Linked DNA regions of Anolis sagrei. The protein of the gene in region 3 interacts with the protein of the main gene of each other region in a pairwise test. Links are inferred from orthologs where the notes say so. Each region holds a gene or a part of one and is shown on either strand. Other genes may lie near its edges. The genes, in order: tumor necrosis factor alpha-induced protein 8-like protein 1, CSNK1D, DVL3 and WT1.

Evidence for each region.
Region 1: the proteins of DVL3 (region 3) and tumor necrosis factor alpha-induced protein 8-like protein 1 interact in binary tests that used the Homo sapiens proteins (3 or more experiments, as listed by UniProt). The two-hybrid records come from large-scale screens. The link is inferred for Anolis sagrei from reciprocal best matches to the Homo sapiens genes DVL3 and TNFAIP8L1.
Region 2: the proteins of DVL3 (region 3) and CSNK1D interact in binary tests that used the Homo sapiens proteins (3 or more experiments, as listed by UniProt). The two-hybrid records come from large-scale screens. The link is inferred for Anolis sagrei from reciprocal best matches to the Homo sapiens genes DVL3 and CSNK1D.
Region 4: the proteins of DVL3 (region 3) and WT1 interact in binary tests that used the Homo sapiens proteins (3 or more experiments, as listed by UniProt). The link is inferred for Anolis sagrei from reciprocal best matches to the Homo sapiens genes DVL3 and WT1.

The regions. Positions count from the first base shown.
Region 1 is NC_090034.1:49,776,811-49,784,827, reverse strand, and holds the start of tumor necrosis factor alpha-induced protein 8-like protein 1, read right to left. Parts: upstream 3,019-8,017; 5' UTR 2,753-3,018; intron 1-2,752. UniProt on the Homo sapiens protein: Acts as a negative regulator of mTOR activity.
Region 2 is NC_090022.1:114,330,495-114,338,512, forward strand, and holds the start of CSNK1D (casein kinase I), read right to left. Parts: upstream 3,019-8,018; 5' UTR 2,779-3,018; coding exon 2,703-2,778; intron 1-2,702. UniProt on the Homo sapiens protein: Essential serine/threonine-protein kinase that regulates diverse cellular growth and survival processes including Wnt signaling, DNA repair and circadian rhythms. It can phosphorylate a large number of proteins.
Region 3 is NC_090023.1:264,637,248-264,644,166, forward strand, and holds the start of DVL3 (segment polarity protein dishevelled homolog DVL-3), read right to left. Parts: upstream 3,019-6,919; 5' UTR 2,908-3,018; coding exon 2,693-2,907; intron 1-2,692. UniProt on the Homo sapiens protein: Involved in the signal transduction pathway mediated by multiple Wnt genes.
Region 4 is NC_090021.1:257,607,582-257,614,581, forward strand, and holds the start of WT1 (Wilms tumor protein), read left to right. Parts: upstream 1-4,000; 5' UTR 4,001-4,396; coding exon 4,397-4,829; intron 4,830-7,000. UniProt on the Homo sapiens protein: Transcription factor that plays an important role in cellular development and cell survival. Recognizes and binds to the DNA sequence 5'-GCG(T/G)GGGCG-3'. Regulates the expression of numerous target genes, including EPO.

The DNA.
Region 1 (8,017 bases), on a different chromosome or scaffold from region 3:
AAATAAATAAATAGGCTTGAAATATTATTATTATTATTATTATTATTATTATTATTCACTGTACCACTTATTCTTTATTATAATTTTCTTTATTTTTACCTTGCTTACTTGATTCTGCCTTTACAAGAAATGATATAATAATAATAATAATAATAATAATAATAATAATAATATCAGAGACTACCTGATGATGACAAAGATTATGATGATGATGATGATGATGATAATAATAATAATAATAATAATAATAATATACTGTGGAAGTTAATATTAATAACAAGTACAATGAGTTACATACAAGCTTGGCAGTGGAAGAAGGGGAAAAGAAGGAAATCAGAGGAAGAAAAGAATAGAAGGGAAAAGAAGGGAAAGAGCAAGAATAAGAAGAACAGAAAGAGTGAGAAAGGAGGAAAGGAGAAAGGAAATGAAGAAGAAGAGATGGACAGAAGAAGAGAAGGAAGAAGAAAGAGCAAAGTCAAGGAGTGGAAATGAAGTAGGAAGAGATGAAGAGAAGGAGGAAAGAGGAAAAGAACAATGAAGAGGAAAGGGAGGAGGGGAAGAGAAACTAGAAATAGAAGGGAAAGAAGCGAAGTATAGAAAGATGAACGGAGAAAGGAAGAAAAGAATGAAGAAGGGAAAAGAAAGGAGGAAAAATAAAGGAAGAAGAGAAGGAGGAAAGAGGAAAAAATGATGAAGAGGGAAGGGAGGAGGGGAAAAGAAGAGGGAAAGAAGCAAACTACAGACAGATGAACGGAAAAAGGAGGAAAAGAATGAAGAACCAGAAAGGAGGAGGAAGCAAAAGGAAAGGAAGAAGGAAAGAGGAAGAGAATGATGAAGAAGAGGAAAGGGAGGAGAGGAAGAGAATCTCAAGAAGGAAGAAGGGAAAGAAGCAAAGCTCAGAAAGAAGGAGTGAAAAGGAAGAAATGAATGAAGAAGGGGGAAAGAAAGGAGGAGAAGCAAGAAGAAAGGAAGAACAAAAGGAAGAAGAAGGGAAGGAGGAAAGAGAAGAAGAGAATGATGAAGAAGCAAGAAGGGAAAGAAACAAAGTACAGAAAGGTGAACGGGAAAAGGAAGAGAAGAAAGGAGGAAAGAGAAGAAGAGTGATGAAGAGGAAAGGGAGGAGGGGAAGAGAATCAAGAAGGAAGAAGGGAAAGAAGCAAAGTACAGAAAGATGAAAAGGGAAGAAAAGAATGAAGAAGGGGAAAGAAAGGAAGAAGAAGGGAAGGAGGAAAGAGAGGAAGAGAATGATGATGAAGAAGGAAGAAAGGACAGAAGCAAAGTACAGAAAGATGAACGGGAAAAGGAAGAAAAGAATGGAGAAGGGGGAAAGAAAGGAGGAGGAAGAAAAGAGGAAGGGAAGGGAAGAGAATAAGGGAGGAAAGAAAAGAAGAGTGATGAAGAGGAAAGGGAGGAGGGGACGAGAATCAAGAAGGAAGGAGGGAAAGAAGCAAAGTACAGAAAGATGAAAAAGGGGGAAGGAGGAAAGAGAGGGAGAGAATGATGAAGAAGGGAAAGAAGCAAAGTACAGAAAGATGAACGGGGAAAGGAAGAAAAGAATGGAGAAGGGGAAGGAAAGGAGGAATAAGAAAAGAAGAAGGGAGGAAAGAGAAGAAGAGAGCAATGAAGAGGAAAGGGAGGAGGGGAAGAGAATCAGGAAGGAAGAAGGGAAAGAAGCAAAGTACAGAAAGATGAAATGGGAAGAAAAGAATGAAGAAGGGGAAAGAAAAGAAGAAGAAGGGAAGGAGGAAAGAGAGGAAGAGAATGATAAAGAAGGAAGAAAGGAAAGAAGTAAAGCACAGAAAGATGAACGGGGGGAAAGAAAAGAATGGAGAAGGGGGAAAGAAAGGAGGAAGAAGAAAAGAAGAGGGGAAGGAAAGAGAAGAAGAGTGATGAAGAGGAAAGGGAGGAGGGGAAGAGAATCAAGAAGGAAGAAGGGAAAGAAGCAAAGTACAGAAAGATGAAAAGGGGGAAGGAAGGAGGGAAGGAGGAAAGAGAGGAAGAGAATGATAAAGAAGGAAGAAAGGAAAGAAGCAAAGTACAGGAAGATGAACGGGAAAAGGAAGAAAAGAATGGAGAAGGGGGAAAGAAAGGAGGAGGAAGAAAAGAAGAAGGGAAGGGAAGAGAAGAAGGGAGGAAAGAGGAGAAGAGTGATGAAGAGGAAAGGTAGGAGGGGAAGAGAATCAAGGAAGAAGGGAAGAAGCAAAGTACAGAAAGATGAAAGGGGTGAAAGAAAGGAAGGAGGGAAGGAGGAAAGAGAGGAAGAGAATGATGAAGAAGGAAGAAAGGAAAGAAGCAAAGTACAGAAAGATGAACGGGAAAAGGAAGAAAAGAATGGAGAAGGGGGAAAGAAAAAAGGAAGAAGAAAAAGAGAAGGGAAGAGAAGAAGGGAGGAAAGAGAAGAAGAGTGATGAAGAGGAAAGGGAGGAGGGGAAGAGAATCAAGAAGGAAGAAGGGAAAGAAGCAAAGTACAGAAAGATGAAAGGAGGGAAAAGGAAGGAAAGAATGCAGAATGGGAAAAGAAAGGAGGAAGCAGAGGGGAAGAGGCTATTGTTTTCTGCTCCGATAGCAAATAACAGCATTATATTATTTTCTCCTTTCTTTGGAAGGTCCTCCCATTTCTCGTCTTCCGACTAAAACAAGGGCAGAAAATTCAGTGCAGAAAAGCATGAGCTCGGCACATTTTTCCCCGCTGAGATCAAGTCCGTGCAATCCTTTTCTGCCCTCTGGATCCCTTTTTCCTTCCTTTTCTTACCTGCATGTTCTGCATCCAAAGATCGGGGCCTTGCAGTATATATATTCAACCCCTAAATCTTTTTTTTTTCTTGCAAATACAAAATTCGGAGCCTTTTCCTTGCAAAATGAAAAATTGTATAGCTTTAAAGCAATGGCTTTGTATCCCTTCTTTTCTTCCTTGGGGGGCGTGGGGGCTTTGCTATCGGAATCCCTCCTGGGATCCAAGGTTGAAACTTGACGCTTTTAAGACTCTGAAAGAGAGAGAGATAAAGTTTCAAATTCAAAGAGAAAGGGGAGGGGGGATGGAATGACAGCCGAGGGGGCCAATCGCGGAGCAGGGCCTCCTACGAAGCGGCCAATGGAAATGCAGCAACAAAAGGGGGCGGGGTTTGGGGATGGAATCGGAGAGGCAAAGGAAAACAAGGCAAAGTCAGTAACCATAAGAGACCCAGGTTCGAATCCAGGCTCAAGCCTTCGTCAAGTCACATACTCTCAGCTTCAGATAAATAAATAAATAAATAAATGAGAAAATAAATGATAATAAATGAATAAAATAAGAAAAAATAAGAAAATAGGAAAATAAAATAAGAAAAATAAAATAAATAAATGCTAAATAAATACACAACTTTATTTGTAGCCCGTGTTTGTATTTGGACTTTGAGTTGGGAGGAAAGAAGGGTCACACTCTCTCAGCCTCCAACCGTGATGCAAAACCCTCTGCAATGCATAGAGATACATCCACAACAAAAATAGATCACACCTGGAATATTGTGTCCAATTCTGGGCACCACAATTGAAGAGAGATATTAACAAGCTGGAATGTGTCCAGAGGAGGGCGACTAAAATGATCAAGAAGCCCTATGAGGAGCGGCTTAAGGAGCTGGGCATGTTTAGCCTGAAGAAGAGAAGCCTGAGAGGAGATATGATAGCCATGTGAGAGGAAGTCGTAGGGAGGAGGGAGCAAGCTTGTTTTCTGCTTCCCTGGAGACTAGGACGCGGAACAATGGCTTCAGACTACAAGAAAGGAGATTCCATCTGAACATGAGGAAGAACTTCCTGACTGTGAGAGCCGTTCAGCAGTGGAACTCTCTGCCCCAGAGTGTGGTGGAGGCTCCTTCTTTGGAAGCTTTTAAACAGGGGCTGGATGGCCATCTGTCTGGGGTGATTTGAATGCAATATTCCTGCTTCTTGGCAGAATGGGGTTGGACTGGATGGCCCATGAGGTCTCTTCCAACTCTTTGATTCTATGATTCTATGAAAAGGTGGATGTCCATCTGTCGGGAAGGATTGGATTGCTCTTTTTCCTGCCTGCAGGGAGTGGGTTGGACTGGATGACCTTTGGGGACCCTTTCTAATTTTAATAATAATAATAATAATAATAATAATAATAATAATAATAATCTTTATTTCTACCCCACCACCATCTCCCCGGTGGGGACTCAGAGCGGCTTACATGGGGCCAAGCCCAGACAACATAATACAGCATAAAATCAAAACATATACAACAGGCAACAACAACATTATCAAAATGACATCAAAATAATAATAAAACAATAATAAAAAAATAAAATAAAAATTCCAATAGACATTCTGTATTCTGTTTAGATAGATAGAGATACATGTTTATTTATGTTTGCTTTAGTAATTGCTTATTATGTTTTGTATTTGATTGCTGCTGATTTTATACTGCATTTCACTGTTTTTTCCCCTTTTTAATTAATTATTTGACACAATCTCATATATAATCAGAAAATATACGTTCAGAAATAATGAAACATGTCTAGATCTGTATGTAGATGGCAACTTGTACAAAGTAAGTATAACATATTTTACCATTCACTCGAGTTTAAGGCACTTTTAAAGGAAAATCCATGCAAACTATTCGTAACTAGAACTGTTTCCCTCTAGCTAACAGCAATATCATATGCAAATATCATATGCAATATCATATGCAAAAAATAAAATAAAAATGCCAATGGGTTTTTTTGTGTTTTTTTTGGAAATTCCTTACAAGGCAATATATCTTCATTATCATTTCACTGTTGAAAGCCGCTTTGAGTCTCTTTGTGAGGGAAAAGGGCAGGATATAAATAAAGTTTATTATTATTATTATTATTATTATTATTATTATATACATATATATAATGTTATATATAATAATATATCATTATATATAAATATAAATATGATATAAATACTATTTATTTATATTTATTGGCATTCTAATATTTATTAGGGGGGAAAGCCATTCTTTGATTTCGTTGTTTATGAATGTTCCCATTAGAAAATACATAAGAATGTGAGTGAACTACCATTCCCAGAATTGTGGGTCAATCCTTCCCAAACCAAGCTTGTATGCACAGCTGGCCATGTTGGGTCTGTGTGCCAAGTTTGGCCCAGATCTAGCGTCAGCTGAGTTCAGTGCTCTCTGGATGCAGGTGAACTACAACTCCCAAAATCAAGGTCAGTTTGTTCAGTTGGTCACATGGGTTCTCTATGCCAAGTGTGGTCCCAGTACATTGTCGGTGGGGGTCACTGTTTCTCTGAATGCTGGTGAACTTTAACTCCCAAAATCAAGGTGAATTCTCACAAACCCCTTCAATACGTTCAGTTCATCATGGGTCTTCTCTGTGCCAGGTTTGGTCCTGGTCTATTGTCGGTGGGGGTCACAGTATCTCTGGATTCCAAGGGCAATCATCCCCAAAGTCCGCCTGAATTCACAGTTGAGCATGTTGGGTCTGTGTGCCAAGTTTGGTCCAGATCTGTTGAAACACAACAAGATTAGTACACAGTAAATAAGATCATTGTATTGGATCACACATCGGACACTTCCCAAATGTCTAGGACTGTGTGATGTATCGGCGAATAATGCATGCAGATCCCAGTAGGGTGGCCCTTTTCAGCTGACAGATGGTGATTTTGTCAGCGCTGATTGTGCTTAAGTGCAGGCCAAGGTCTTTAGGCACTGCATTATTATTATTATTATTATTATTATTATTATTATTATTACTACTACTACTACACTATTGTTCCTGGGTTATCAATTTCCTAATTGGCTGTACACTAAAAAAAATGCGGAAAGCTGATTAAAGTGGCAAAACTTTGTTATTGCGGGAAACAGGAAATAACAAGTTCAAGCCAGGAACAGATTTTTCTTGGATCGATATAGGGCAGGTTTGACCTCTCCCTGTGACACTTTTTGTGGGCCGCTTCCTGCGCCTCTAGCTTCTGTTTCCTTTCTTTTGTAAGCTTGGCATGGATGAAGAGGAAACATTAGTCATCCATAGCCTTCCCCGGCCTCCAAACAGAAGCTGGATGGCCCTCTGCCGGGAAGGATCGGATTGTGTCTTCCTTCTCTGGCTGAAGGGGGTTGGATTGGATGGCCTTTCAGGATTCCCGTTCTAATCTAGAATTCTGTGGAAGTCTATAAACAAGAAGTTGGATGAGCACCTGTCAGGAGGGATGGGATTGTGTCTTCCTTTGTCTTGCAGAAGGGGTTGGATTGGATGGCTTTTAGGAGTCCCGTTCTAATCTAGGATTCACTGTAAGTCTATAAACAAGAACTTGGATGAGCATCTGTCAGAAGGGATCGGATTGTGTCTGGCAGAAGGGGTTAGACTGGATGGCCTTTAGGAGTCCCTTTATCAGCTGAGCGACGTTGGAGATGGAGCTTAAGAGAAGATGAAGCGGCGCTTGAGGAGAAAAGGCGGGAAACAGCGGCGTGCAAACTAAAAGGTGCAACGCTCCAAGCCTATTGGAGGGCTGTTTGGAAAAAAAGAGTGGCATCCTTATAGACTAGTAATGGATGCTGAAAGGGTTGGCCTTGATCAGGATGAGATGGTGAACAGGAGAGAAAAAAATGAATCCAGGAGACCCTGGATTGCCATACCTACTTCTGATACAGAATCCTAGAGCTGATAAAATGAAATGCAAAGATACAGAATGGGGGAAGCCTGGCTCGAGAGCAGTACGTGTGAAAAAGATCTTGGGAGTCCTCGTGGACAAGTTAAACATGAGCCAACAATGTCCTGTAGTGGCAAAAAAGCCAATGGGATTTTGGCCTGCATCAGTAGGAGCATAGTGTCTAGATCTAGGGAAGTCATGCTACCTCTCTATTCTGCCTTGGTTAGACCACACCTGGAATACTATGTCCAATTCTGGGCACCACAACTGAAGGGAGATATTGACAAGCTGGAATGTGTCCAGAGGAGGGTGACTAAAATGATCAAGGGTCTGGAGAACAAGCCCTATGAGGAGCGGCTTAAAGAGCTGGGCATGTTTAGCCTGAAGAAGAGAAGGCTGAGAGAAGATATGATAGCCATGTATGAATGTAAGAGGAAGTCATAGGGAGGAGGGAGCAAGCTTGTTTTCTGCTGCCCTGGAGACTAGGATGCGGAACAATGGCTTCAAACTACAAGAAAGGAGATTCCATCTGAACATTAGGAAGAACTTCCTGACTGTGAGAGCCGTTCAGCAGTTGAACTCTCTGCCCCGGAGTGTGGTGGAGGCTCCTTCTTTGGAAGCTTTTAAACAGAGGCTGGATGGCCATCTGTCAGGGGTGCTTTGAATGCAATATTCCTGCTTCTTGGCAGGGGGTTGGACTGGATGGCCCATTAGGTTTCTTCCAACTCTATGATTCTAGGAGACCCCCAAGGGCCACCCAGTCCAAACTCCCTGCCATGCATGATGCAGGAAATCACAAAGCACTCCCAATAACCTCTGTGGAAAAGCCTCCAGAGAAGGAGACTCCACCACACTCCCAGGCAGTCTAGGCCACTCTCCAACAGCTCTTACTCTCAGGAAGTTCTTCCTAATCTTTTCAGTCAAATCTCTTTCCTTGCCATTTGAACCCATTGCTTCTTTGTGCCCCGGTCTTGAGCATCAGAAAGTGAGTTTTCCCCCTCCACCTCAATGGGACTCTGTTTGAAATCCTAAAACATGGTTCTCATGTTCCCTCTCTACTGTCTTCTCCCAGCTAAACATCCCCCAGTAAGAAGGAAAAAGAGAAGGAAGGGTGGAATAGAATGGAGGGGGAGAAGGCATGACAAAAGGAAAGGGAGGAAGGAGAATGGGAAGGGAGGATGAAAGGGAGGGAAGGAAGAGAATGGAGGGAGAGGGGAAAGGAAAGGAAGGATGGAAGAAAGGGAGGGAGGGAGGACAAGGAAGGATAAATAATGTTATCGTTGGGGGTCACCACAACATGAGGAACTGGATTAAGGGGTCGTGGCACTAGGAAGGCTGAGAAACACTGCTATAGAGGATGGAGCAGCCCCTTGGGCCCTCC
Region 2 (8,018 bases), on a different chromosome or scaffold from region 3:
TTTTCAAAACCAAAAGTTTTGCATTGCAGGAATTCCATCTTCTTATTTCAAACTACCTACAGAAACTCTTATTTGAAATGAATCCCTATATACAATATCAACTAATTAATAACCTGTGATTCTTGCCTCATAAATAGGAGTAATACCTTTTACTGTTAATAATAATGCAAACTTCTCAAAGAAGCAGGAAATGACACCACATGAGTAAGGGATCTTAATGTCTTAATTTCAGTAAATGGAAATATCTCCTAAATTCAACTTAATTCTAAAATGCGGACATGAGGAAGAAAGGATGGCGAAAGTTACAACACTCAGAAAGTTTAAGAAAATATCTGACTGGAAATGTTTTTAGTATACAAGGATATTCTTCCCTGGGCAGCTACCAAAACAAGACTATGCCAAAGGATCTGACAATTTCGTGTGTCAAGGTTCTGAAGTCTTCTCTGTATTACAAGGGAATCAAAGTTCTAGGATTAAGAATTTGGGAAAGTGTCATCATCCTTCTCTTCCCCCATCAGGTGGGACAACAGTGGTGAATAATTTAAATATCTTCACTGTCCTGTTTTACACTATCCTTTGAACCTTCCTAAGTATCAGAGCGAAAAGAAACTCAAGCCTGGTAAATAAAACAAAGGCAAGAGTAATAGATGTGATGGTTAAGAAATATACATAACCTAAGATCCATTTTTAGTGTGAATCATAATCATAAAGGTATCTATGCCCTTTCTTGCACATCTTTCTCAAAAATTTAAAAAATCTAATGGGTCGCTGCCACAAGCAGATATAACATTTTATTAGGGACAAGATTAATAAAAGCCTTCTCTGACTTTTAACAAAGTTTTTCCAACCTGCACAACACTTTTAATTAAAGGGGAAGCTGCAACCAAATGATAATCTTTTGTCCTGATGGGTTCACACCCTTGTATGTATAATTTTGTGTAGTATGCAAGCAAAAGAAATCCCTTAAAGTTTATTATTTACAAGGAGGAAGCAAAGACAACATCCAAGAAGGATTTCAGAAGACTGCACTTCCAAAGTTTTCTGAATAAAGATCTGATCAAAGACATAAAGCATTTATTTCAACAGAAATGTTGACATTTCACACCCTTTCCTAAAAGATAGGTAAGAACAAAACACTATAAGATATTTAATGTTATTCTGTCAGAAAAGCACTAGATCAGGCAAGGAAGCACTAGATCAGGTAAGGAAGTAACCTTTTGTATACAAAGAAATAGCAGCCTTGGCAATATGGATTTGCTGCTTTCGATATTCACATTTATTTTTAAACATAGGAGCTCAGACTTGGATTGGCTGTTCCCTTTGTACAACAATACGCAAAGTCAGCAATCCCATTAAAGCTACTCAAATGTATACTGCAATGCATAGGCCTAATCCTTCGTGGGACTGAACCTTGAACTAATTGACAGACCATCAGATTTTTTTTCCTGGCTTACCTTTGCATAGAGCCTACCACTTTGAAAGGAGACACCTAGGCTAGCTTACCATATGCAGAATGCAAGCGAAAACCCACATCCCTGGGGGTTTATTAAAGATTCATCACCAAAGAAGTAAGTCAGCAGGCCTCTGGCTTAGATTCACAATTATGCTGTCATCAAAACTAGGGGACTGGGTTGCAAATAACCAGAATTTTACACCTCAGAAAGGAACAAAATGCTCCTTCCACACAGCTGAATAAATAAATCCCTCATTTTCTGCTTTGAACTGGAATATATGGCTGTGTGGACTCAAGGCCCTTCCACACAGTCCTATATCTCAGAATATTAATGCAGAAAATCCCACAATTCTGCTTTGAACTGGGTTATCTGAGTCTACACTCTGATAATGTGGGTTTTTCTGCCTTGATATTCTGGGATATAAGGCTGTGTGGAAGGGCCCTCAGATAACCCAGATATTATGGAATTACCTGCCTTGATATTCTGAGTTATATGGATGTGGAAGGGCCCACCATCCCATTTACCGGAAGTCCAGGTTAAAAACCAAAAAGGCAGAAAGCACCCCAAGCCACAAAATGAGCGATTTTGCAATCACAAAACACAGCATTGGGCAATTTTTTTTGTAAAAGCGAGCTACTTCCTGGAGGCTTTTACAGCCCCGGTTGAAGCAATAGTCAAGGCCTGCGGTCCTGGCCAAGACCAGGCTTTGAAGTCAAAACTCTTGGGTCCAGTCCATGCTTTGGAAGGAGGACGGGCTTGATTTTTCCTGCTCCAGCCAAGGGAGGCCGGCTGAGAAGAGGGCGGCCGGCGGCCCAAGGTCACCAAGGAAGTTTCTCTTGAAGGAGGAAGCGGGGAGGGCGAGGGGCTCTGCCCTGAGGAAGTCTCGGGAAAGGGTGAGGCCTACACGGAAGACTGGTGGCCGGCACCACTGACTGCAAAGGGGAGCAGCTACGGAATCCAGGGAGGGGCCGTTTGAGGAGGCCCCAGGGCTACTGAGCAGAGGAAGCGTAAGGCCTTGGAAAACTACCGCTCCCAGGATTCCACAGCACTGAGACATGGCAGCTGAAGTGCTGTCAACCTGCATTTATTCGACAATGTAGGCGCACCCTCCGTAAACAAGGCCTGAGAAGCCCGAGGTGAGGCGACAGGCAGCCCTTGCCGGGTTGCGGCGGTTCTTTGAGGCCGAGCAGGCCCCGCCGGACCCCGGCCAGCCCTCCCCTCCACCGCCCGCTTCCTCCTCTTCCTCACCGAGGTAAATATCCCCGAAAGAACCGCTCCCGATCTTCCGGCCGAGCCGGTACCGGTTCCCGACTCTCAACTCCATCGGCGCGGCTCGAGTGGACCCAACCCAGCGGCGAGGACGGAGCCCGGCTCAGAGCGAGGCCAGGACGGCGAGCATGGCGGCCCGGGGCCCGTCTCCCGGCGGCGGAGGGGTCTGGGGGCGGCCGCGCGCCCCGGCTGGGGAGGATGGAGGCCGATTCCCCGAGACCCGGATCCCCCCTCCCGCTCAACGCAGCTGGGGCCGAGCCGCCGCCATGTTGTGTGACCTCACTTCCTTGACAACTGAGGGCGGGGCCTGCGCCTCCCCGGGAGGGAAGGCGGCTCGAGGGGCGGGAACGGGGCGGGGCTTGCAGATTGTGAGGCCGGGAGCCGGAGCCAGGGCCGTCGCCCAGGCAACCGCCGAGGCCGCGGCGAGCCCCTGCTATAGCCCTCGCCGAAAAGGGCGCCCGCCACACTCAAGAATTAATGCAGTTTGGCACCGCTTTAACCCCCATGGCTCAGTTCTAGGGAATCTTGGGAGCTGTCGTTTGGTGAGGCGCCAGCACTATTGGGCAGAGGAGGCGAATGACATTGTAAAATTAAGGCACATGCCTCACTATGAAGGTATCACAATCTCTTCAGTGGATAGATCAAAGCTAGGATAATAATATTGAGGATAGTTATGATGGTGTGGTGAATGAATTAGAACCAGACATCCTGAGGAGTGAGGTTGAATGGGCCTTAAGAAGCATTGCTAACAACAAGGCAGCAGGAGACGACGGGATCCCAGCTGAACTGTTTAAAATCTTAAAAGATGATGCTGTCAAGGTGATGCATGCCATTTGCCAGCAAATATGGAAAACACAAGAATGGCCATCAGACTGGAAAAAATCAACTTATATCCCCATACCAAAAAAGGGAAATGCGAAGGACTGCTCCAACTTCCGTACAGTGGCCCTTATTTCTCATGCCAGTAAGGTAATGCTCAAGATCCTGCAAGGAAGACTCCAGCAATACATGGAGCGAGAGTTGCCAGATGTTCAAGCTGGGTTTAGAAAAGGCAGAGGAACGAGAGACCACATTGCCAATATCCGCTGGATAATGGAGAAAGGCAGGGAGTTTCAGAAAAACATCTACTTCTGCTTCATTGACTATTCTAAAGCCTTTGACTGTGTGGATCATAATAAATTGTGGCAAGTTCTTGGTGGTATGGGGATACCAAGTCACCTTGTCTCTCTCCTGAGGAATCTGTACAAGGACCAAGTAGCAACAGTCAGAACTGACCACGGAACAACAGACTGGTTCAAGATTGGGAAAGGCGTACGGCAAGGCTGCATCCTCTCACCCAACCTTTTTAACTTGTATGCAGAACACATCATGCGATGTGCGGGGCTGGATGAATGCAAAGCTGGGGTGAAAATTGCTGGAAGAAACATTAACAACCTCAGATATGCAGATGACACCACCCTGATGGCCGAAAGCGAGGAGGAGCTGAGGAGCCTTCTAATCAAGGTGAAAGAAGAAAGTGCAAAAGCTGGGTTGCAGCTAAACGTCAAAAAAACCAAGATTATGGCAACAAGAATGATTGACAACTGGAAAATAGAGGGAGAAACCGTGGAGGCTGTGACAGACTTTGTATTTCTAGGTGCAAAGATTACTGCAGATGCAGACTGTGGCCAGGAAATCAGAAGACGCTTACTTCTTGGGAGGAGAGCAATGTCCAGTCTCGATAAAATAGTGAAGAGTAGAGACATCAGACTGGCAACAAAGATCCGCCTAGTCGAAGCCATGGTATTCCCTGTAGTCACCTACGGATGTGAGAGCTGGACCTTAGGGAAGGCTGAGCGAAGGAAGATCGATGCTTTTGAGCTGTGGTGTTGGAGGAAAGTGCTGAGAGTGCCTTGGACTGCGAGAAGATCCAACCAGTCCATCCTCCAGGAAATAAAGCCTGACTGCTCACTGGAGGGAAAGATACTAGAGACAAAGTTGAAGTACTTTGGCCACATCATGAGGAGACAGGAAAGCCTAGAGAAGACAATTATGCTGGGGAAAGTGGAAGGCAAAAGGAAGAGGGGCCGACCAAGGGCAAGATGGATGGATGGCATCCTTGAAGTGACTGGACTGACCTTGAGGGAGCTGGGGGTGGTAACGGCCGACAGGGAGCTCTGGCGTGGGCTGGTCCATGAGGTCACGAAGAGTCGGAGACGACTGAACGAATGAACAACAACAAGGCATGTAATCATTTCAAGCTGATGACTATCCCTCCCCTGAAGAAAAATAGCCTAAGCCAGGCCCGTAGCCAGGATTTCGTTTCGGGGGGGGGGGGGGGGGGGGGAGGGGCTGATTTTTTTTCAGGGGGGGTTTCGGGGGGGGGCTGAGTTTCGGGGGGGGGCTGAGTCTGAGTGAAAGAGGGTCTAGCCTAGCAAACTTTTGTATCATTACCCCAATACCCCCATGCATATGGGATATATTGAGTATGGTGATCAGATCATGATATGAATAAACATAACAGTTTAAATAATGCACCAATAAGGCCTTTTCGCGAACCACCATGAAAATTTCGGGGGGAAGGGCTGAAGCCCCCGAGCCCCCCCCCCCCCCCGGCTACATGCCTGGCCTAAGCAATACAGTGCATTGGCGAGGTGAAGGCCTCTAAGCCTGTGCTGCATTGAAACTCCCAGCACCTTAAAGAAACAGCAATGTCCAGAGCTCTGTGAAACATTTATTTCTTTACTTCATTTCCATCCCGCTCTTCTCACCCCTCAGGGGACTCAGTGTAACAGTTTCAGCTCCCTCTGTCAGCTCCAGAGCTCCATGCAGGGACATGAGAGAAGCCTCCTATAAGCAGGGTATAATATTAAACATCTGGGCGTCCCCTGGGCAACGTCCTTGCAGATGGCCAGTTCTCTCATACCAAAAGCGACTTGCATTTTTTTCAAGTCGCTTCTGACACAGGCAAAAGCCACCAGGGTGTGCTAGAGAGAGAGAGGATAGTCCATGTTGGGGGTGGGGGGTTTGAAAGAGGAAAGCCATTTCCTTAGTTTTTGTTGATTATTCCCCCTTCCCATTTCATAACAGGAAACGGGGGGGGGGGGGGGGGGGGGGATGGTTTTACTGCTTCAGCTAGCGCCCCCTGGCGGCCTACACCCGGCTAATGGAACAGCACCTAGTCAAGGTACCTTACTCTAACATGACCTACTTCGTCATTATATTAAACAAGATTAAGGCCCATCTCTCAAGGGAACATTTGCAGTAAACCCTCTATGAAACATGGCTGGACTAGGTGGCCATTGCCGTCCCTTCAAACTTAGGATTCTGTTGTTCACAGCTTGAATGAAAGAAAGATGAGCTTCAACTTAATTGTTGAATTTCTTTTAGAATAATTAGAAATGAAAAACCCACATGTAGAACACTAGGCGTCTCTATTTCCCCTCATCAAGGGCTGACAGTCTTTTTAATTTTTTTGTAACTGAAAAAATATAACTTAAAGAAAATTAAGTAGAACAAAATAAAATATCCATACTCTCAGCAATCCATAACAAAACATATAATAAAAGTAAATATACCCTATTACTTTTGTAGCCCTAAAATTAAGGCTTCTTCTAACACTATAGAGACACTATAATCTATATATATGACCTATAGATTTTTTTATCAAGCACTTTACAAGACTGAAACTGACTACAGTTGTTTTTACCTGCAGCTATCACTGTATTTTGGTTTTAACCAGGGGGTATTGTGAAGTTATGATGTTTATGTTGGTTGTTCACTTATGGTTGTTTACACTTTCTGTATTTTGTGTGGTTGCACCTTTGAGTGCTTTGTGAGCCACCTAGATTCCCTCTGAGAGATGGTGGCTGTGTACAAAGAAAGTTGTTAATCATCATCATCATCATCCTGTTTGGAGGTGGATTTAAATGGACCTCTTTCACTGTGCATTCTTGCTTACACAAACACCCCAGGAATGGTTCAATGAGGTGGCCACAGCATCCGCTTTTTGCAGTTTGCAATTGAACCCAAGAATGTTTTCTTTCTTACCCAGTTCACTGAGATGCATCACCATGTCCTTTCGGGATCACTGCTAGACAGAGGCAGGAAACAGGAAATCGGAACAGAGGTGTGGGAAGTGAATTTTCCCATGGGAATGATGTCTTTTCTTATTTACCTTCCAGCTATTTCTGCATTTTTAAAGCACGTCATCACCAGGTGTCCTAGCAAGCATTCTTCATTTTCCAGTCCCAGATTGGAGGTCTGCATGGAATATACTCTGATTGGCTGCAGTGGATTTTTGGCTTGTTTTGAACTTTCTGGTGTTTTTGAACACACTGTTTCTGGCTTAATGTATACTGCATTTGAATACACTGTTTCTGGCTTAATGCATACTGGGGATGTATGCTTTGTGGACACCATGACCTTGAGCTAGCTTCAAGCTGCATTATATGGTTTGTGAAGATTCAGACTAAGAGGTCTTTCCAAAGACCAACATGAGAGCTAGCAAGATCTTAGGTAAATTTCTCCTTTTCCCCCATTTTTCTAAAATGCAAAATTTAACCGAAGAAACACAAATAAAAGTAACAATGTTTATATATATTTTAAAACGTAAAGAACAATTAAATACCAGCTACACAATTTTCACACTGACATACATCTACTCTAATTACATGTAATTAAAGCACCAACAAATCTTTTTTCTTCTATTCTAAGGTTCACTTTCCCATATATAAATATCTCTAAAAACAGGTGTGTTAGAACTGTGGGTGTGTGTTTTACAATCAATGGAATCTTCAAAAGAATATACATGAATTAGTTTTTTAAAAGGATTTCCTGCTTCCCCTTTACCAGTTTCCCTATAATTTAACTTTTTCTTCTTCTACCTTATATCCAGCAGGTTGCTGACTATCTCAAAAACTGTCTTTCAATTTCCCTCATATATATTAATACAAAACATTCCCTCAGATACATATTAATAGAAACATTTTTCTAAGAATGTGTCCAGTGATTTCCCCTTCAACAAAATGGTTAACTTATCAATTTCTATTCCCAAATTTTCACTGTCCAATCTGTTTCTTTCTTTTTCCATTGTTGATGATGTAGGATTTGTTACTGTTAACGTGTACTGCACTATTTTCTAACATTCCTTTTTTATTTGATTATCCAACAGTCCTAGAATGAATTCTGGTTTGAAGCTGATTCCAGTTTTCACTGTGATCAGCTGAGAGGTGTGAATAGATGCTAAACCAACCAGATAGACAGGTGCTTTAGGCTAGATTTCAGAGTAAAAAACTTGCAAAACCACTTCTCAGT
Region 3 (6,919 bases):
GCTTTATTGTAATTTGTTTGGGCTTGGCCTCATGTTAGCCGCCCCGAAGTCCCTTCGGGGAGATGATGGTGGGATATAAATAAAGTTTCTTATTATTATTTATTTCCTCCTGCAGTCAATGGAGGTCAGGCATGGGCAATGTTTATGCCAGGCATGGGCAAACTTGGGCCCTCCAGATGTTTTGGACTTCAACTCCCACATTTCCTAGCAGGCACAGGCCCTTTCATTCCCCCCCCCCCTCAGGGGTCTGAGACTGCTAGGAATTGTGGGAGTTGAAGTCCAAAATACCTGGAGGGCCCAAGTTTGCCCATGCCTGGTTTAGGCCTTTATTTATTTATGACATTTATATGTCGCCCTTCTCACCCCGAAGGGGACACAGAGTGGCTTACAAGATATATATACATACAATATATTATTAGCATAGTTGAATATCAGTATTATATACTGTACTATACCATTATATTGTAATATTACATGTCATATGAAATATATAATTATAATATCATTATTAGTAGTAGAACTAGCCATCCCCTGCTACACGTTGCTGTGGCCCAGTCTGTGTATATGTGTTTTGTGTGTGTATATATGTGTTTATGTGTGTGTGTGTGTATTTGTGTGTTCATATATATAAGTATATTCATATATATATATATGTGTGTGTGTGTGTGTGTGTATATGTCTGTATATATTTATATGTGTTTATGTGTATATTTATGTGTTCATATATATATATGTATATTCATATATATATGTGTGTGTGTATATGTGTCTGTATATATTTGTGTATTTGTGTGTTTATATGTGTACATGCACATTGTGTATATGTGTGTGCTTGTCTATAAGCATAATTGTGTGTATGCGTATGTATATGTATGTGTGTATATGTGTATATTTGTGTGTGTTTGTGCATATATATACGTGTGTGTATATGAATGTGTGCATATGTGTATGTATATGAGTGTATGTGTATATGTATATATTGAGTATTTTGGGGGGTTTTAAGTCTGTTCTGCTGGGATTTTGTGTGTGAGTGTGTGTGTGTGTATTTTTAGGGGTGATGGACACTCGTTGGACTGTTAGATGTATTGTATCCAAATTTCGTGTCAATTCGTCCAGTGGTTTTTGAATTATGTTAATTATATGTATCTACAATATATTATATTATATGTATATACAATATATTATATTACATTGGTTTATATGCATATACAATATATGATATTACATTATATGATATGTGTAAACAATATATTATATTACATTATATTATTTTTATATTATATTATATGTACATACAATATATTATATTATATGTATATACAATTTATTATATTACATTATATGTGTATACAATACATGTATATGTATATTTTATTGTATATGTGTATACAATAAAAATAATATTACATATTATATTATATGTATATACAATATAATACATTACATTATATTATTTTATATTATATTATATGTAGATACAATATATTATAATACATTATATTACTTTATATTATATTATATGTATATACCATTTATTATATTACATTATATTACTTTATATTATATTATATGTATATACAATTTATTATATTTATTTTATTATTATATTTTTTGTTACATTATATTCTTTTTATATTATATTATGTACATACAATATATTATATTATATGTATATACAATATATTATACTACATTATATTATTTTATGTTATATTATATGTATATACAATGTATTATATTACATTATATTATTTTATATTATATTATATGTATATACAATTTATTAAATCACATGATATTATTTTTATATTATATTACATGTATATACAATATATATTATATTATATTATGTGTATACAATATATTACATTACATTACATTATTTTTATATTATATTATATGTATATTCAATATATATTACATTATATTACTTTATATTATATGTATATACAATTTATTATATCACATTATATTATTTTTATATTATATTATATGTATATACAACATATATTATATTCTATTATGTGTATACAATATATTATATTACATTATATTCTTTTTATATTATATTATATGTATATTCAATATATGATATTACATTATATTACTTTATATTATATGTATATACAATTTATTATATCACATTATATTATTTTTATATTATATTATACGTATATACAACATATATTATATTCTATTATGTGTATACAATATATTATATTACATTATATTCTTTTTATATTATATATATGTATATACAATATATTATATTACATTATATTATATGTATATACCATTTATATCACATTATATTATATTATGTGTATACAATATATTATATTATATTCTTTTTATATCATATTATATGTATATACAATTTATTACATCAATAATATTATTATATTCTTTTTATATTACATTATGTACATAAAATATATTATATTACATTCTATTATATGTGTATACAATTTATCATATTACATTATATTCTTTTTATATTATATTACATATATATATAATATATAGTATTACATTCTACTATTTCTTTGGCGTAGGTCCATTGTCCTCTTGAGGGAGGACATCTCCGTCTACACTGCCATATAACCCAGATTATCTCCTTGCGGGAGACAGACAGACACAACACAAAAGCCAATGGACAGGAGGAGGAAGCGGGCCTGCCTGGGCGCCTCACCCGAAGTCGTCGTCCATGGACTTGAAGTAGAACTTGTAGCTGGGCCGGTTGAGGAGGGCCTTGAAGTCTCCCAGCGTGACCCGCTCGGCCGGGATGGCCACCTTCACCAGGTACGGCGTCTCCTGCTCGTCCAGGTGGTAGATGATCTTCGTCTCCGCCATCGCTGACGAGGAGGAGGAGGCTCCTACTGCTGCTGCGGCTGGAGGCGCCGCCATGGCTGCTCTCTCCCTCGGGGGGCTCGCTCACGCCAGCCCGGGGCTCCGGCAGCGCCTGCAGGCCCAAAAAGCAGCAGCAGCACAAGCAGCAGCACAAGCAACACAAGCCCCGCCCCCACCTCGCGCGGCTCCGCCCCTTCCGCTTCCGGCCTCCTCAGAGTGGGTGTTGCTCCAAGGAAGGCGCTTTCCACAACACTCCGAGGCAGAGAGTTCCACTGCTGAACAGCTCTCCCAGTCAAGTTCTTCCTCATGTTCAAGTGGAAGATCCTTTCGTATCCTTTGAGCCCAGGCTTCTCCCTCATCCAGGCTCGGCTTCAAAGCCTCCAAAGGAGGCTCTACCACACTCCATGGCAGAGAGTTCCACTGCTGAACAGCTCTCCCAGTCAGGAAGTTCTTCCTCATGTTCAGGTGGAAGATCCCATCGTATCCTTTGAGCCCAGGCTTCTCCCTCATCCAGGCTCTGCTTCAAAGCCTCCAAAGGAGGCTCCACCACACTCCATGGCAGAGAGTTCCACTGCTGAACAGCTCTCCCAGTCAAGTTCTTCCTCATGTTCAAGTGGAAGATCCTTTCGTACCCTTTGAGCCCAGGCTTCTCCCTCATCCAGGCTCTGCTTCAAAGCCTCCAAAGGAGGCTCCACCACACTCCAGTGCAGAGAGTTCCACTGCTGAACAGCTCTCCCAGTCAGGAAGTTCTTCCTCATGTTCAGGTGGAAGATCCTTTCGTATCCTTTGAGCCCAGGCTTCTCCCTCATCCAGGCTCTGCTTCAAAGCCTCCAAAGGAGGCTCCACCACACTCCATGGCAGAGAGTTCCACTGCTGAACAGCTCTCCCAGTCAGGAACTTCTACCTAATGTTCAGGGGGAAGATCATTTCGTATCCTTCTCCCTCATCCTTATGACAACCTCGACAGATGGCCATCCAGCCTCTATTTCAAAGCCTCCAAAGAAGGAGCCTCCACCACACTCCAGGGCAGAGAGTTCCACTGCTGAACAGCTCTCCCAGGCAGGAAGTTCTTCCTCATGTTCAGGGGGAAGATCCTTTCGTATCCTTTGGGCCCAGGCTTCTCCCTCTCCCTTATGACAACCTCTGCTTGAAAGGCTCCAAAGAAGGAGCCTCCGCCACACTCCAGGGCAGAGAGTTCCACTGCTGAACACCTCTCCCAGTCAGGAAGTTCTTCCTCATATTTAGGTGGAATCTCCTTTCCTGTAGAATCCTAGAGTTGGAAGAGACCTCATGGGCCATCCAGTCCAACCCCATTCTGCCAGGAAGCAGGAATATTGCATTCAAATCACCCCTGACAGATGGCCATCCAGCCTCTGTTTAAAAGCTTCCAAAGAAGAAGCCCCCACCACACTCCAGAACAGAGAGTTCCACTGTTGAACAGCTCTCACAGTCAGGAAGTTCTTCCTCATGTTCAGTGTAGAATCCTAGAGTTGGAAGAGACCTCATGGGCCATCCAGTCCAACCCCATTTTGCCAAGAAGCAGGAATATTACATTCAAATCACCCCTGACAGATGGCCACCCAGCCTCTGCTTGAAAGCCTCCAAAGAAGAAGCCCCCACCACATTCCAGAACAGAGAGTTCCACTGCTGAACGGCTCTCCCAGTCAGGAAGTTCTTCCTCATGTTCAGATGGAATCTCCTCTCTTGTAGTTTGAAGCCATTGTTCCGCGTCCTAGTCTCCAAGGAAGCAGAAAACAAGCTTGCTCCCTCCTCCCTGTGGCTTCCTCTCACATATTTATACATGGCTATCATGTCTCCTCTCAGCCTTCTCTTCTTCAGGCTAAAGATGCCCAGCTCCTTAAGCCGCTCCTCATAGGGCTTGTTCTCCAGACCCTTGATCATTTTAGTTGCCCTCCTCAGGACACATTCCAGCTTGTCAATATCTCCCTTCAATTGTGGTGCCCAGAATTGGACACAATATTCCAGGTGTGGTCTAACCAAAGCGGAATAGAGCATGGGGAGCATGACTTCCCTAGATCTAGACACTATGCTCCTCTTGATGCAGGCCAAAATCCCATTGGCTTTTTTTGCCGCCACATCACATTGTTGGCTCATGTTTAACTTGTTGTCCACGAGGACTCCAAGATCTTTTTCACACGTACTGCTCTCGAGCCAGGCCTCGTCCCCCATTCTGTATCTTTGCATTTCGTTTTTCCTGCCTAAGTGGAGTCTCTTGCATTTGTCCCTGTTGAACTTCATTACGTTAGTTTTGGCCCATCTCTCTAATCTGTCAAGATCGTTTTGAATCCTGCTTCTGTCCTCTGGACTATTGGCTATCCCTCCCAATTTGGTGTTGTCTGCAAACTTGATGATCATGCCTTCTAGCCCTTCATCCAAGTCATTAATAAAGATGTTGAACAGGACCGGGCCCAGGACAATACAACAACAATAGGTTGTTGTAGATTTTTTTCAGGCTATAGAGCCATGTTCTAGAGGCATTCTCTCCTGACGTTTCGCCTGCATCTATGGCAAGCATCCTCAGAGGCAGTAAGGTCTGTTGGAACTAGGAAAATGGGTTTGTATATCTGTGGGACAAAGAACTCTTGTCTGTTGGAGCTAGGTGTGAATGTTTCAACTGGCCACCTTGATTAGCATTTGATGGCCTGGCAGTTGTTTGGTGTGGCTTGTTAGTGCCTGGAGCAATCTTTTGTTGAGAGGTGATTAGCTGTCCCTGATTGTTTCCTCTCTGTTGTTTTGCTGTTGTAATTTTAGAGGCTTTTTTTTAATACTGGTAGCCAGATTTTGTTCATTTTCATGGTCTCCTCCTTTCTGTTGAAATTGTCCACATGCTTGTGGATTTCAATAGCTTCTCTGTGTAGTCTGACATGGTGGTTGTGAGAGTGGTCCAGCATTTCTGTGTTCTCAAATATTATGCTGTGTCCAGGTTGGTTCATCAGGTGCTCTGCTATGGCTGACTTCTCTGGTTGAAGTAGTCTGCAGTGCCTTTCATGTTCCTTGAGTCGTGTCTGGGCAATGCTGCTGCGTTTGGTGGTCCCTATGTAACTTGTCCACAGCTCCATGGTATACACCAAGCAGTAACAAGCCACGCCGAACAACTGCCAGGCCATCAAATGCTAATCAAGGTGGTCAGTTGAAACGTTCACACCTAGCTCCAACAGACAAGAGTCCTTTGTCCCACCCTGGTCATTCCACAGAGATATAAACCCAATTTTCCTAGTTCCAACAGATGATGAAGAAGAACTTTATTTTTCTACCCCGCCTCCATCTCCCCAAGGGGACTCAGGCGGCTCACATGGGGCCAAGCCCAGGCAACATACAATTAAAAGCAAAGCAACAACAAGTTACAAATTAAAATGACACAAAACAGCATAACAGTAATAAACAAGCATCAAGCAACAGCAACCCAAATTTTGGAGGGGGAAGGAGGCCAACATACAAATTGATTAAAAAGTAAATCTATATATATATAAATGCTCTGTGCATAATGAGTAGCTTAAAAACAAAAGAACCAATGAACGAAATCACACCAAATTTGGCAACAAAACATCTCACTACACAAGGAGTGACCATCACTCAAAACATTATGATTTTTCACTTGGGAGTTGTAGTTGCTGGGATTTATAATTCACCTGCTATCAAAGAGCATTCTGAATTCCACCAATGATAGAAACGAACCAAACTTGGCACACAGAACTCCCATGACCAACAGAAAATACTGGAAAGGTTTGGTGGGCATTGACCTTGAGTTTGGGAGTTGTAGTTCACCTACATCCAGAGAGCACTTTGGACTCAAACAATGATGGGCCTGGACCAAATTTGGCACAAATACTCACTATGCCCAAATGTCAACACTGGTGTTGTTTGGGGAAAATAGACCTTGACGTTTGGGAGTTGTAGTTACTGGGATTTATAGTTCACCTACAATCAAAGAGCATTCTGAACTCTATCAATGATGGAATTAAACCAAACTTGGCACACAGAACTCCCATGACCAACAGAAAATACTGGAAAGGTTTGGTGGGCATAGACCTTGAGTTTGCGAGTTGTA
Region 4 (7,000 bases), on a different chromosome or scaffold from region 3:
ACTGGGGCTCCAGAATTCTTCTGCTAAGGATCTTGTAAAAATGTGCTGTCGAAGGCTTTCATGGCTGGAATCACTGGTTTCTGTAAGTTTTCCGGGCTGTATGTCCATGTTCTAGAAGCATTCTCTCCTGACATTTCGCCTGCACCTGTGGCAGACATCCTCAGATCTTGTGAGGTTTGTTGAAAACTAGGCTGGATTTTCCACGGATATATAAACTCCACTTGCCTAGTTTTCAACAGACCTCTCAACCTCTAATGATGTCTGCCATAGATGCAGGCGAAACGTCAGGAGAGAATGCTTCTGGAACATAGTCATACAGCCCTGGAAAATTCACAGCAATCCTGATCGTGTAAAACTACAACTCCCAGGATTCCATAGCATCCAGGCATGGCAGTTAAAGTGGTGTCCAAATGCATTCATACAACAGTGGAAATGCACCCAGGGTCTGTTTGCCACAACGGTTTACTCTGAGGAAAGTTTCATAACTATGATTTTTTTAAAAGGGATGGATGTGGCCCAGATGTTTGTTTTTTTTTTTGTTTTTTTTTTGCTAGATCGGGAAATCTGGAGCAGAAAAATACACATGTCAGAAGAAAATTAAATAATTTTTATCGCGTCGGAAGGGACTTGGGAAACTAGAAGTCGCTTCTGGTGTGAAATAATTAGCCCTCTGCAGGGACGTTGACCAGGGAACGCCCGGATGTTTTACCATCTTGTGGGAAGCTTCTCTCATGTCCCTGCATGAGAAGCTGGAACTGACAGACAGGAACTCACCCCGCTCCCCGGATTCGAACAGCCGACCCCGACCTTTAGTTCAGCAGTTCTGCTGGCACAAAGGTTTACCCTCTATGTGGGTGAGAAACAAATAAGCAGGAGCTGGCATAAATACATCTCAATGAGCTCTAGATAGGAGGTAATCTCATTTACTGGACACTTTCCTTCCTTCCTTCCTTCCTTCCTTCCTTCCTCCCTCTTTTTAAAATTTCTTCCTTCAGATAACTCAAGTACAGCCAACCTAAAATGAATGTTGGTTCAGGCACGTTTAAATAATTGAATTCAACCCCTTTCCCCATTGTCCGGCATTTGAGCCTCTCCTTTCCATCGAGGAATTTGCAGTAAACTGTTGTCTACATTTGAACCACCCCACCTAAAGGCTCTCTCTGCCCACTATTTCCCAGTTTCTTGTATTTACTACTCATCACACTAGAGAGTGAATCCACTTTAAATCGGTTTCTGTTCCTGCAAAATTCTGGGTTTTGTTGTTTAGTGAGGCTGTTAAAGGCCTCCCTAAACTACAAACCCAGAATTCTGCTAGAGGCAGAAACCAGATTTAAAGCAGATTCATTCTCTAGTGCGATGAGGCCATAGAAGCGTTCTTGCAACCTTGGGCTCATCACGTTAGAACTGAGGCAGTTTGGCTTCATTTGAACTGCCATGGGGCTCAATGCTATGGGGCCACGGGGAGTTGAAAAGTTAATGGCCATGTTCTAGAAGCATTCTCTCCTGACATTTCGCCTGCATCTGTGGCAAGCATCCTCAGAGGTTGTGAGGTTCTTGGGCTATAACAGCCCGAAAAACCTACAACAACCCAGTGATTCTGGCCATGAAAGCCTTCGACAATACATTGAACTGCGTTAACTCTACAATGTAGATGCATTCCCTAGAGCGGGGCTTACAATGTTTAGAGCCTTTGAGTTCTTATCCTCCAAAAAAGTATTTGACTTTCTCAAATAACGTCTTCTATGGTTTAAAATTCCGAATGGTAGGCAATATCACACATGTAAAACCACGAATTCAATACTTTTGCACTCAGACGTTGCAGAGACTTCCTTGGCAAGATTTGTTCAGAAGGGCCGAGAGAGTGTGACTTGCCCAAGGCCACTCGGTGGGTTTCCAAAGTTGAAGACGTTAACCCAGACCTCCCAGAGTCCTCATTCAGATCCGCGCCAAATCTCAGCCCGCCCTTTTTTTTCTTGTTAGGAGCGACTTGAGAAACTGCAAGTCGCTTCTGGTGTGTGAGAATTGGCCGTCTGCAAGGACATTGCCCAGGGGACGCCCGGATGTTTTACCATCCTTGTGGGAAGCTTCTCTCATGTCCCCGCATGGGGAGCTGGAGCTGACAGAGGGAGCTCATCCGTGCTCTCCACAGATTCGAACCTCTGACCTGTCAGTCTTCAGTCCTGTCAGCACAAGAGTTGAACCCATTGCTCCGGAAGTGGCTTGAATCCCGATTGTTATTTTCCATCCCCTGAAAGTTATAGTTGTTTGGTGAAGAACACTAAGGAAAATCCCTCCAATTCAACGCTGTTCAAAGCATTCTACGAGGCTCTTGTTGCCACGGGTGGACGGAATGGGGAAAAGGCTCCCTGGCATTCGTAAAAAGGGACTTTCCCCACTGCGGGCTCTGGGCGAAATTAATTGAAGCTCAATCCTTTGAGCAACATATGAGTCCCACCAGCTCCTAAAATACTTATTCCGCAGTTTATAGAGATGGGATCCACATTGGCAGAACAGTGAAGCGCTTCACTGAAAGCGGGGTCTTCTTATTTTTTACTTTGAAAGGATGGGATTTGGGAAGAGGCCCCAGTGCCTACCCCTCTGAGGTAGAAGGTAAAAAGAACGGAGTCTTAATGTATGCAGCTCAGGTTGGACGCGGACAATCCAATTTGATGAAGCAATCTTGATCAGTACGACTGTCCGGATTTCCACCTGTGGTTGGACATGCAAAGTAGCCTTGGGTGCCTTCCCAAGAGGCATTTCCCCCGTCTACAAGATTTAACTCACCCTCCACCGAGGAAACCCCATTCCCACACTCCTGTCCTCCCTTTCCTACACTAAACCTTCGGAGTCCATGGCCCCGTCTACAAAGCCAGATCAATACCAGATTATCGGCGTGTACTGGAATATATGGCAGTATGACTAATACCATCCAGTGCAAAGCGGATGATCTGGATTTTCTCTGGCAGTGTACTAGGGTTGAATGAAAAGTAATGCCTCCAACCTTCGTAACTCCTCAACAGATGGCAGTACTGGAATGCGTCAGGTACTGGCTCGTTCAGTAGACTCTCCCCTACAGTTCCATTTTGGCGGGAAGCCTTAGCATTGAACGGTTGTGTTGTTAAAGTGCAAAGTATGGAACCTGCGCCAAGGTCTGTCAATACGACTTAAGTAGTCATTGAATTATTGACAGCACAAGGTGTCACCCCAAAGAAGATTAATCAGAGAATGCAAGCTGTTTATGGTGATTGTGTTGATGTGAGTACTGTGCGTCATTAGGCGAGTAAGTTTAAAGATGTTGAGGTGACACTTTCTGCTGTCAAGACTGCACGTTGCTTAAGTCACATTTACCGACCATAACAATCAACACTAAGGCTTCCTGCCAAAATGGAACTGTATAGGAGAGTCTACTGAACAAGCCAGTACCTGCCGCATACAAGTACTGCCATCTGTTGAGGAGTTACGAAGGCGGAGGCATTACTTTTCATTCATTCAGCCCTCTTAGATGGGTTATTTATCCTCCCCCTCAGCAGCCTCCGAAGCCTGAGATCAGACATCATCAAACTGCGGCCCTCCACCTCTTTGGGCCTCCAACTCCCAAAAACCCTAACGAGTTTGTTCAGTGGTCAGGAATTCTGGGAGCTGAAGGCCCAAACAGCTGGAGGGCCGCAGTTTGAGGATGCCTGCCTGAGACTGTCTCTTCTCAGCAGGCGAGGCAGTGGCAGCCTTAGCCTAGGCTTCGTTTGGGAATCCCACCCCAATTCCGAAGGGGAATTCCGAGCGGGAGAGACGTGTGTGTGTGTGGGGGGGGGGGGGGGGAATCGGTGGATTTGGAGAGTGCTGCGTCCCGTGTTGAACACCCTCGGCTTCCTGAGTCCCCGGGAGAGAAAGTGGCGCGGGGAGAGCGTGGTGTCCCGTGGCCGGGTTGCGGCCCTTGAGCTGGAGGGGAGGCCGTGTCACCGCCCACGCGCGTAGGAGGGGGGAGGGGGGAAGAGAGCGTGCCTGGGCCTGGCTCCTCCCCCGCCTCACTTGGCGGAGTTTTGGGGACTCGGAGGGCAAAGCCGGCGCGGCGAGGAGAAGCCACTCTCCTGCTGCCTCCCGAGCACGGAGCTTCCCTGCCTCCCTCCCTGCCTGCCTTGCTTGCTTCCTTCCTTCCTTCGGGGCCCAAAGGGCGACCCTGGAGGCCAACCTCGCCCTGGCGCTGGCAGGGCTGGACCCGGGGGCTGGGCTGCCCGTCCCGAAGGGGCTCCCGAGCAGCGCCGCCACCTCCTCCTCCTCTTCCTCAACTTGGTGCCTCCCTCCGGAGCCCCTCAGCGCCTGGGGCAAGCCTTCCTCCTCTTCCTCCTCCTGCGGCGGAGAGTGGTTCCCTGCGCGGCGCAAAGCGGGCTCGGCGGAGGCCATGGGTTCCGACGTGCGCGACCTCAACGCGCTTTTGCCTCCTCCCCCGGGCAACGGGGGCTGCCCCATGCCGGCGCAGTGGGGCCCCGTGCTGGACTTCCCCTCGGGCGCCGCTTACGGCTCGCTGGCCGGCCCCCCTCCGCCGCCCCATCCTCCGCCGCCCCCCTCAGCCTTCATCAAGCAGGAGCCCAGCTGGAGCGCCTCGGACCCCCACGAGGAGCAGTGCCTCAGCGCCTTCACCGTCCACTTCTCGGGACAGTTCACGGGCACAGCCGGCGCCTGTCGCTATGGGGCTTACGGGGCGCCCCCGCCCCCTCCGCCGCCGCCGCCGCCCCCGCCCTCCAGCCAGGCGCCCCCCGCCCAGGCGCGCCTCTTCCCCCAGGGCCCCTACCTGCCCAGCTGCCTCGAGGGACAACAGGCCCTCCGCAACCAAGGTAAGTGGGGCTAAAATCCTATCTGATCTTGGAAGCTCAGCAGGGCCGACCTTGGTTGGTAGTTGGATGGGTAGCCACTGAGTTGTGAACAAGATAGGTTCAGTAGCAGGCATGAGCAAGCTGGTGCCTTCCAGGAGTTTTGGACTTCAACTCCCACCATTCCTCACAGCCTCAGGCCCTTTCCTTTTCGCTTATGCGGCTGAGGGGGAAAGGGCCTGAGGCTTTTAGGAATGGTGGGAGTTGAAGTCCAAAATACCAGGAGCGCCCAAGTTTGCCCATGCCTGTTCTATAAGCTTGTTCTTAACTTGGATTTGTATATAAGTCGGAACAGGAACAGTTTTTAAGCGTAACTCCAGCCAAATATATATGTTTTGCTCTCTGTGCCTCTGTTCACCAGAGTTCACTGCACTTTCTGTCCCTATGACAACTGGGTTTTTTGGAGGGGGAAATGGCTTGTTGACTGCTCCGTGCAGTTATGCTGGCCACATGACCTTGGAGGTGTCTACGGACAATGCCTCTCTTCACTTCACTTTCTGTCCCTGTGACAATTGGGTTTTGCAAAAAATGGCTTGTTGTGGAAACAAGGATTGGTGAGAAAGCTTCAGCAGGGAATTTCCCTTCCTCTACCACTTCATCACACCAGAGAAAAAAATCAATTTATAATCCGGTTCCTGCCTCCTGCAGAATTCTGGGGTTTGTAGTTTAGGGAGGCTGTTAAAGGCCCCTCCCTAAACTACAAACTCCAGAATTCTACAGGAGGCAGAAACCGGATTTTAAGTGGATTTCTTCTCTAGATTTCTCATCACACTCGAGAAAAAAAAATCAGTCGCCTTCTCAACTCTGAGTAGTTTGTAAGTCGGGTGTTTGTAACTGTAGGCTGTATTTCAGGGAAATCCTCGGGGTCGCCATAAATGGGCAGGCAACTGGTAGGCACACACGCCCGGCAGGATCCATGAAGCCAATGGGTTGCGTCAGCTTTGGCATAATAAGTGGTCTTATTATCCATTCACTCCAACTGGGAGGAGGGATGGGATTTTGCCCAGATCCTCTCTGATTTTGGAAGCTAAGCAGGGGCGGCCCTGGTTAATACTTAGAGGGGAGATCGCCAATTAAAACCAGGCGAGAATAATAATAAAACTTTATTTATACCCTGCCCCATCTCCCAACAAGGGACTCGGAGCGGAGAAGGCACTAACAAATCCATCTGTGACATGTCTTTTGAAATTCATGGAATCACCATCCTCCCAAATCTGCTAAAGACTATCAGTAGTAGAAAAGGAGAGGTGGAGAGGCGACTTAAAGGTGCATCCTCAAACGCAGATTATTATTATTATTATCATCATCATTATTTATCTCCCCCAAGGGGACTCAAAGCGGCTTAACAGCGGATGAGCTCCCTCTGTCAGCTCCAGCTCCCCATGTGGGGACACGGGAGAAGCCTCCCACAAAGATGGTAAAACATCAAAACATCTGGGCATCCCCTGGGTAGTCCTTGCAGACAGCCATTTCTCTCATACCAGAAGTCATTTGCAGTTTCTCAAGTAGCTCCTGACCCCGGGGGGGGGGGGGGGGATTAAACAGAAGCGGAAGAATGGTTTCAAACTACAGGAAAGGAGAGTCCCCTGAATATGAGGAAGAACCCCGGGAGTGTCGTGGAGGCTCCTTCTTTGGAGGCTTTGAAACAGAGGCTGGATGGCCATCTGTCGGGGTGTTTTGAATGCGATTTTCCTGCTTCTTGCCAAGGGGTTGGACTGGATGGCCCATGAGGTCTCTTCCAATTCTAGGATTCTATGTTTCTAGTTTGAACCCAGAGGTTACATTTCGGTCTTCATTTAATTGGGAGGAGCGAGTGGATTCAGCCCCCAGTGTTTATGGGTACCCCCCATGCCCCACCAATTAAAAATAAATTTAAAAATACTAGTTGTGTAGCTTCGAGGGACAGGCACAAGTGAGAAGGTTTCCACCCCTCAATGAGGATCCTCCAGTACCACATTTCTAGCATCATAGAAACACCAGGGCGGGTTGGGGTGAGCTCCCGCCTGTCAGCTCCAGCTTCCCATACGGGACATGAAAGAAGCCTCCCACAGAATGGTAAAGCATCCGGTTGTGCTCTGAGCAACTTATTTGCAGACGGCCAATTTTCTCACGCTAGAAGCGTCTTGCAGTTTCTC